2 linked regions of the Ovis aries genome follow. The protein of the gene in region 2 purifies or fractionates together with the protein of the main gene of each other region. This does not show direct contact. Links are inferred from orthologs where the notes say so. Each region holds a gene or a part of one and is shown on either strand. Other genes may lie near its edges.

Region 1 (4,958 bases), on a different chromosome or scaffold from region 2:
AAAGAGATTAATTTCACTAATTAAAAACTTATGGGGAAGGGAATCTGGATTCATATTTCATTCCCTTGCTAAATGTTTTTCAATTGCCCCAAGGAAAAAATTCACATTTTCTAAGTCTTTTGAAAGTTTGCTTGTGCTCAAGCTAAGATAACCTTTATCAGTCCAGTCCCACACTCAGTTTAATGATATATTTCTAAGCTACTTTATGCTCCCCGGAATCACCAAGCTCTTTCCTTTTATGGGTCCTGGCATCTGCAGTTCCCTCTTGCTGGTACCTGGCCAATCTCCCTGCTTGTCCATCAGGTCTCAGATTTTTCACTTCTTCCGGAAAGCTTTTCCTAACAGTGCCTGGCTCTGTGCCTGAGAACCTATAATCACAATGTTACATGAAAAGTTGAGTGGCAGTTACATATGACTTGTTATGGGGGAGACATGAAACTTCTCTGAAATAAGCCCAAATATACTTATTTCTGTTACAATGATTGTAGTAATATGAAGTTGATGTCCCTTGCAAGGAATGAAAACACTTTTGAAATTTGTTCATGTTAAATAGTGCCAGGACTGGTCCTTTGCCATCTTCTCTGCCTGTTGTTACATGAGGCTCTAGAATTTCTATAGTGGAGGGTTAGTTGGGTTAGGGGTGGCGACTGTTGATATTAGGGTTGAAAATACACCTGCATCATACTTACATGTTAAGAAAACTGTTTTGTGTATTAGATAGTCGTTAATGGCGGGGGGCAAAACTCTTGCCCCAAGGCTTCCTTTGACACTACCACTGCTCCTCCTTCTGGCTCTGGAGAGGGCAAGAGGGGTGATGGGGAAGCATCTTGAGTTTCAACGGTAATGGGTGATCCTGGAGAAACTACCACGTAGTAACTACATGTCATGCATTTGTACACATTATTTCATTATCTTCCACTCCTCCTAACTTCTGTGTGAAGTGTTACCTAATACAGCATAAAAGTTAATAGCACCATTTTTGGATAACAGACTGAATCCTTGCTAGTTGTGCAACCCTGGCAAAGTTTTGTCTAAGACTTAGTTTGTTCATCTGTAAAATGAGGATATCAATTCCTACATCGAAGGGTTGTTGGATACTCAATAGATAGTACGGAAGGAATAAACAGAATCAGGCTTAGTAGTTTGCTCAAGGTCATGTAACTCAGTGGAATTCCGATTCTGGTTTAGCTAATTCTGTAGCCAGTGTCCTTTCCACTACCACTTTGTAATTAGGTGTAATCGTTTTGGGCAAGTTTGTTTAGTCTCCTGAACCTCGGATTCCTCATATGTAAAAGAGTTCATTCATTAAACTCGTGTCAAGGTGTGTACATAACGGAGACTGCAGTTCTCTCCTGTCTCCCCTTTTCATTCCACATAGGTCATTTACCTTTAACTTCTAAAATGGACCTTGCAAGCACTTTACTAAGCGGGCGCAGTTGCACAAACATAATTATTCAGATCCCTCTTTTATTTCCTCTCCTTTCCTCTTCCACCTAGGCTCCCGCCCCACCCAGTCCAGGCCACGCCCTGGCGTATGACGTCAGCACGCCCCGTGCGTCGCGGCGCGGCGCTCACTGGGGGCCCGGCTTTCGCCCGCTGCTGCCGCCGCCGCCGCCGGCCGCGGCTGCTCTCCCAAGATGGCGGCTCCTCCGGGCGAGTACTTCAGCGTTGGGAGCCAGGTGTCGTGCCGGACGTGCCAGGAGCAGCGGCTGCAGGGCGAGGTGGTAGCCTTCGACTACCAGTCCAAAATGCTGGCTTTAAGTATCCTTCCCTGCGTGGAGCCCGAGGCCGGGCCGGCGTGTATGTGCGGTGGTGGGGGGGCGGGGGACGACGGCGGTGGCTGGGGCCCTCTCCGGGCCTAGGGGCGACCGGCTACCGCGGCGTCCGGAGCGCATGCGCACGACCCTGAGCTCCCCTCCCCCTCTCCCTGGTCCCTTGGTCCGCCTTGGGGACCCTTGTCGCCCTCCCCTTGTGGGAGCTGGGCCGCGAACGAGGGTGGGTGGAGGGGGACTTGACACGCGGATGGCTTTTCGGGGGGAACGCTAGGAGAGGGCACCCAGTGATCAGGAGAGGGGTGGTCGTGGGAGAGGGCTGGTGATTGGAGCCCGGATGGAAGAGGGGCGGGTGGAATCAAGTAGGGAGGGGGTGTGTTGAGTAAGGAACTGCTAGTGAGTGGGACATGGGTATGGAGTTCAGGAGGGGTTGTCTACTGATAGGATGTGGTCCACGGAAGGGCGGTGGTGTTTGACCAAATGGGCCTCGCTTGTTTGGGGGAGAGTAATTGCAGGACAGAGTTTGTAGCAGAACTGGGTATAGGGGCTTGTTTTGCTGGTGCTTGTGTGTGCGTGGTGCCATTGGGGACGGGGTGCTGAATTGTAGGCTTCTCAGTCATTTGGAAGTTGCTCTTTTGGAGATGTTTGTCCTGGAAACCTGGTCCAGAGAGAGGACCACGTTTCTCAGGGGCTTGTGTATGGACGTGTGGGTTACAGGTGAAAGAGTAAGGTACCTTTTGCTCAGGCCAGCACATGGAATCCTGACTTCTCCACAGTAGTAGCCTTGCCTTTTAAATGTGGCAGTGTTAAACAGAATGGAAAAGGTGGCCTCTTTGGTGTGGAAATGATTTCTGAATTACTCCAGGAAGCTCAATCTTGGAAACAAAATACTTCCTGGTTGTAATACCACCTCCTCCTTATATTTGAGCCACAGGTGGACTTATTTGGATTTTTTTCTTTTTTTTAAGAGTTATCTTTTTGGCACCTTTCAAAAGGAAGTTTCTTACTGGGTCTGCTGCCTTTGACTGGCAAGTATTTTAACCAACTTCATTTAAACTTAACCACTTCATTTAAACACTAGTTGTAGATTTCTAGCTTAGGAAAATATCCTTTGAAACTAATTACAGCTCGAATAGTTGCGTTTTCTTGGTTTTGTTAAACACAAGAATTCGTACTTGGACTATATAAGATCTTTTGCATTAGTGGTTTAGTTGGAAGGGTTTTGGAATGAGGAATTACTCTTTCAATTGACATGCAGTATGCTTTTGAGAAATGGCTGGAGAATGAATGGATGGATGAGTGGGTTAACTAGCTGGGTCACCTTGAATGAGCTTCCTTTCCAGTGCTGTAGTTTTTGCCTCTGCAAAATGGAAAGTTTCAAATCAGAAAAAGTGAAAAGAGCTGTTCGGATATAGGAAGTATACCAAGAACAGAGGGTACTTGCTCTCCTGTGTGGTTCGTTAGGTTCAAGACAGACAGTATACATACAGCATTAAAACGACATTAAGCCTCTTCGTAAAACCAGTAGAGAGAAGGTGATGGAAACCCTGTTGAGGCTTCAAATTTTGAGTTGTGTTTGGCTTTGTAAAAGCTTGAGATCTAAAGATATGCTGAGAAGAGCTGTGATTCTTGTGGGACTCCCCCCTCTTGCTGGTGGCACACCTTTTACACAAGCCTTATGAGAACTGTGTTTCCCATGCCCCTTTGGGATGTGTCAGTGCTCTGCTTGCCCCTGTTTTCCTTAACTTTATTTTTTTTCACCAGAATGTCCCTCTTCCAGTGGAAAGCCCAACCACGCAGACATCTTGCTTATAAACTTACAGTATGTTTCAGAAGTGGAAATAATTAATGACCGAACAGAAACCCCTCCTCCCCTAGCTTCACTCAACGTTAGTAAGGTAAGGACTTGAGGGCAGTTCTGGGTCTCCAAAATGATGGGAAATTTGAGTCTCATTGACTCTTGATGGTACATATATTGTCCTTTTTTGTTTTTCTTTTTTTTCAGTGATTTACAATTGGCTTGTTTTGACATATTTAAATAAATATATATATATCTCACTGTAGTTTTTATCTCTTTGTTCCCTGATATCTTCCGAAGATTTTAAGAAATGTCTTGATGCCTGCTGATAGAGAAATAGAGTTGAGAGCTGGCTTTTGTTCTTTGTGAAAGAGAGCTCCCCCCTCACCCTTAACCTGTAGTCCATGTGTGAACTTCCAGTGTTGGTGGGGTTGGCTATGGACTTTCCTTCTGAACCTCTTGAAATTGTGTATGTGTGCGCACAAGAATATACATGTATTTCCTGGATGAAGATCTGGAGTATTTTTCAGATTCTCAGAGGGATTCATGACCTACAAAAATTTGAAAACTACTGCCGTAGAGCTTCATTTTTGTCTTTATGCTTGAATTTTGAAGTCTAACAAATTTAGAGGCTTAGGATATTTTAATCTCGGCTATATAAATTGGTCTCTGGGAACTTTCAGATAACTTTTCTGATTCTTCATTTCCATCAGCTGAAGTTCATGTTGATCAATATTGTACCCAAGCCCTGTTTGAGTTTTGCTGTTCTCTCTACTTGGAACACCTTCTCAGAATGACTAGAACCGTATCCATCAGAACTGTTTAATGGCACCTCTTTCAAGAAGTCTTCTCTGATCACCCAGGCTAAAGTGGTTGCCTCCATTATTTTCTCTTACAGTACTCTAGCCTTCAGAGATAAGGTGATGTATCATTTCCAGTCCAGTATGGGACATTTTTGAGAGTAGAAGAGGGCAGTGCTTTTGTTTTACACTGAGACAAGTTTAGATTGATGTATCCTGGGCAAATTGGGACTTGTCACCTATTCAAAGCCTTTTTGTGATTATAATTGTGTATACTTTTCTATCTCACCAAACTTTGTTTTGTGGGAATGGTAACTATACCTGTTTTGTTCCTCACTGAATATACAGAACCTTGCACAGAGTAGGTGCTTCATAAATATTTGTTGAATGAATAAGTTAGGCCTTCAGTTTTTGTAGCAGCTGTCTTTCATTAAGTCTGTTGAATTAGTGTGATGAAATTTTTCCCTCTATAAAAATTAGAATAATGTATATTCTTTTGCCCCACTTGGGAATGTAGTGTGTTTGCTACAATTCAGCAAAGCAAGGGAACACTCAGGCAGCTGAAACAACACAGGATAACTGAGGCTG
Region 2 (3,801 bases):
TCTGATGACTGGATTCTATGTATGGGGCAAGGTCTTCACAAAGGTAAGACGATCCCTGATCCAAGTACAGCTTTCTCAAACTAATAGGAGGCTACATGCAATGATGCTTCTAGACTCTGGCTACTATGTGGGGCCTGAATCATCCCTTTCAGATAAAGCAGATTATTACATTATAAGTGGGAACTGTTAACTCCTGTTCTATATTCTCTTTGCTCCTCCCCTGCTCATCGGCACACCTCAGTGAAGAATGAGTCAAGGCAGTGAGAAAGACTCTCAGGCCCCTTTGCGCTGCTGAAAGATCCGCCGATAAGGCAGCAGCAGGAGGAGTTGCAGTGAATGGCTCCAGTGAGGTGGGGAGGGGTATTCTGAAATCATCTGGGCCAACCCAGTGTCCCTGTATCAAGTGATAGTGAGTTCAACCACGTCTCCCTGTCAAGTTGGAAAGGGTGTAGCCCAAAGAGCTGGACCCCAGCTCTGCAAGGATTTGCAGAGCGAGGAGGACGAGTCCTCAATTCCTCCTGCAATACTATGCACTGTTCTGGACCATGATAAGCCTTGAAGGAAACCCTGTTTTGACTCTAACACGTTCAAGTAGACCCAGGGCACATCTGGACTTCCCTGCAGATGTTAACCTTTTTGTTCTTTCAGCACAAAAACACAAAAGTGAGGTTTTAGGAACCCCAACTTACATATAAATTCACATAACTACGTAGCTACCAGCCTCTGCTAGACATCTACCGGCCCCCAGGTCTCATGAAGCTCCTGATTCAGCCAAACCATGCTGTCCCACACTTGACCAAACCAGCTCCCCTCCCCACCATCAAAAGCAACTCATCCACTGCAGTGCGCCACACTACAGAACCTGCCCGTTTGCTGGGGAGGATGCCCAGACTTCCCAGAGCTGTGGAACTCTAGTTATAAGGTCGCCTTCTGAGAGTTAGTTCCAACTGAGCAGCATCTCCAGCCCCACCACGCCAGAGCCTCAGGGGTGCACTGCTTGACATGAAACGGAATTCAGTGAGGCAGTTTAAGCTGAGACCTGCCTAAGAGAGTTCTGTTATGAAAGCAGCAAAAAGAGACATCAAATACAGCCGATCCACCCTTAACAGCCCCAGGGAGGGCCTCAAAGGACAGTGTTAAAAGTCCAACTTCAGTGCAGCTCCTTCTCCTCATTAAGACAATTCAAATTGGCCCTGGATCGCACTGGACTTTAGTCAGCAGCAAACACACCTTTCAACCTTTAGAAACTTACGCTAGAGGTGAGCCCCAAGTGCTTCCAGATCTGCTCTTTAAGAAAAATAGGAACACCTGGGCGCTTCCAGCTTCAAATCACACAGCACCAATGTACAAGGCCAAGCCCTTTCAAGAAGTACAACGTATGGTCAAAGCAGATTTAGGAATTGCCAGGGAAACAAATGGAGAGATTTCTTAGGAACTCAGGTGACTTAACATTCAAGTGGACAGTCCCAGGGCAGTCATCTCAGAGTTGAGAATTTGTGAAATCCCATCTTCTTTGCCAGACCTGTGTGTGTGTGTAAGGGGTGTGGGGGGAATATGTGTACATATACGTGTATATATAGCAACGAGAAAGCTATATAAACAGAAACAGAGCAATGCAGACACAGTAAGGAAAGAACTAGGTTGCATTCCAGAGTCAAAGGTATTTTTAAGGCCTCAGCTGGGAAATGTCAAAAGACTGACCAATCAGCAACTTCACTGATTCCATTACAAAACCACACAAACATTCATTTAAGGCCAGATCACATGTATTTGAGTGGGAAAGAAGAGACAAGCAGATGGCATCACACACAGGGGTTCCTAGCTTGAAGAGCATCTGGCTCTTTGCTGCTTATCTGATAACTTTCATATCCTAGTTGGTCTTCACAAAAAGTTGGCTAAAGCAGGTTTACCTGAGGTACATGGGCCATGTGGGGTGGATTGGTGTAAGCCGGCTGAACATGAGAAGGATGAATGGTAAAGACGGTCTGCTGTGCTGCTGGGAAACTATTCTGTGGAGACTGTGTATTGGAGGCAGGTGTCATGGAAGGTGGGGTTGGCGCAAGCCCCGCGTGGTAAATGGCAGACTGCTGCTGTGGACTGGCCAGATGGAGAGCCTGGGCGGCCTGGTGCTGATGGTGCTGCAAAGTGACAGCAAAGAGTACAGATTAAGAGACATTCTTTTCTGGGATACAAGCCTGATTGTCAGACTGCAAGCCCTTAACCAAACAGTGGGAACCAAGAATACTGCTCCAGGGAACTGGAGCAAACAGCTCCAGATGCCAGAGCTCCTTAAGTGCCTTCTTAAAAAGCATGGCTAAAGAAACTAATAGGAAAACAAACAAACAAAATCGTATCACATAAACATTAGAAATGAGAGTTTTAAAAAGTTCCAAGCGAAATTCCTTACTTTATGTTAAATTTTTCTATATTGGTAAAGTTTTCAGAACTTACCCAACCACCTTATTCTCAGTATGTACCTTAAGGTGATTAAACCTGGGGGCACAGCCTGCAGAGCTATACGCTGGCTCCTAGGTGAGGCAGGGCTGCTAGGTGTTTTGGTCACGTGGTGCCTAGCATCTCGCACGGCATTGGGAGAAACACTCAGTAAGCAGAAGGATGCAGCAGTTCTGGTGAAGGCCCCCCCGAGTGTCCTACCTGAACAGGACTGGGTGCGGGATGGCTCCCACCATGTTGGCTTTGCTGCTGTCCGGTGGGCGTAGCTGAAGGCTGAGGATGTGGAGTATGTGGGTGCAGGGTAGCATTAGGGTGCGCATACTGCTGAGCAAGGGAGCCAGTGGAAACTAAAGTGAAATAAAAAGGAGTGTGTATAATTGACGTGTGTGGTGGTCTTCATTGCTCTTCTATGCCTCATCAACTTTCAGCTCATCAACAGCTTTCTTGATGCTCAATGCCTAACCCATCTCTATATTTGACTCCATTTAATCCATCCACTTCTTGGAAAAAAAAAAAAAAAGTCAAGTTACTGCTTACCAACCAGACTAGCATTTTATTCAAATAACATACATACTGTATCAAAATCTAATCAGTTTAAATTTACTTTTGTAACAGTCACTAGGTTTTCCTGAAAAAGCAACTTAAAAGCACAGACAGAAATAATTCAATCTCTCTCTATCTCACACACACACACACACACAGACACACACACAGCAGCTCAAGGCCATCATCTGGCTAACCTCACCATGCTACTGCCCTGGAGCTGGCGCAGTGTCCTATGGGCCCAGATGGTATCAAGGCTTCAGTAAGGGGCTGGATAAGGTGTGTGGCAAGGTCAGGGCTCTATCTTCAGGGCCAAATGACCACAATCTCTCTCAGCTGATTACAGAAGCCACTTTGCTCCTCACTTTGTTCCTTGGGCCTCCCCACTCAAGATCTCTCACCTTTGTTTTATAGTTTAGGGTTACCTAAACTATGTATTTAGGAAAACCAAACTCCCTTCTATGCATCACAGCCTTTAGAAAAAATTTTTACTAGTTAGGGTAACTTCAAAGAAAATATGATGGTTTAGTTTAAGTAAAAATGTGTTCATTAAAGGTAAGAATGCAAAGCCAATTCTTTGTGTCAGCACTGACCATACGTTGGCACAAAACAGGGAGATCAGATATTTGTTCATGTCATCCCAATACAGCAATCCGAGAATCAAAAGCACAAGATGGGTTCACTGCTTCCAGTGACTACTAATATAGCACCCTGATACAAATCTAACCATGATGTGGCTATGAGTTGAGGACAGTCTTCCCAAGACATACCTCTTAGAAGTCAATGTGTGACTTCCAGCCTTCT

What was found.
Region 1: the proteins of ATXN2 (region 2) and LSM12 purify together in Homo sapiens (affinity purification with mass spectrometry; 4 studies listed by BioGRID and IntAct, with this or other methods). This does not show direct contact. The link is inferred for Ovis aries from reciprocal best matches to the Homo sapiens genes ATXN2 and LSM12.

Annotation. Positions count from the first base shown.
Region 1 is NC_056064.1:43,642,070-43,647,027, reverse strand, and holds the start of LSM12 (protein LSM12), read left to right. Parts: upstream 1-1,573; 5' UTR 1,574-1,637; coding exon 1,638-1,761; intron 1,762-3,536; coding exon 3,537-3,670; intron 3,671-4,958. UniProt on the Homo sapiens protein: Nicotinic acid adenine dinucleotide phosphate (NAADP) binding protein. Confers NAADP sensitivity to the two pore channel complex (TPCs) by acting as TPC accessory protein necessary for NAADP-evoked Ca(2+) release.
Region 2 is NC_056070.1:55,207,828-55,211,628, forward strand, and holds part of ATXN2 (ataxin-2), read right to left. Parts: intron 2,802-3,801; coding exon 2,656-2,801; intron 2,139-2,655; coding exon 1,911-2,138; intron 1-1,910. UniProt on the Homo sapiens protein: Involved in EGFR trafficking, acting as negative regulator of endocytic EGFR internalization at the plasma membrane.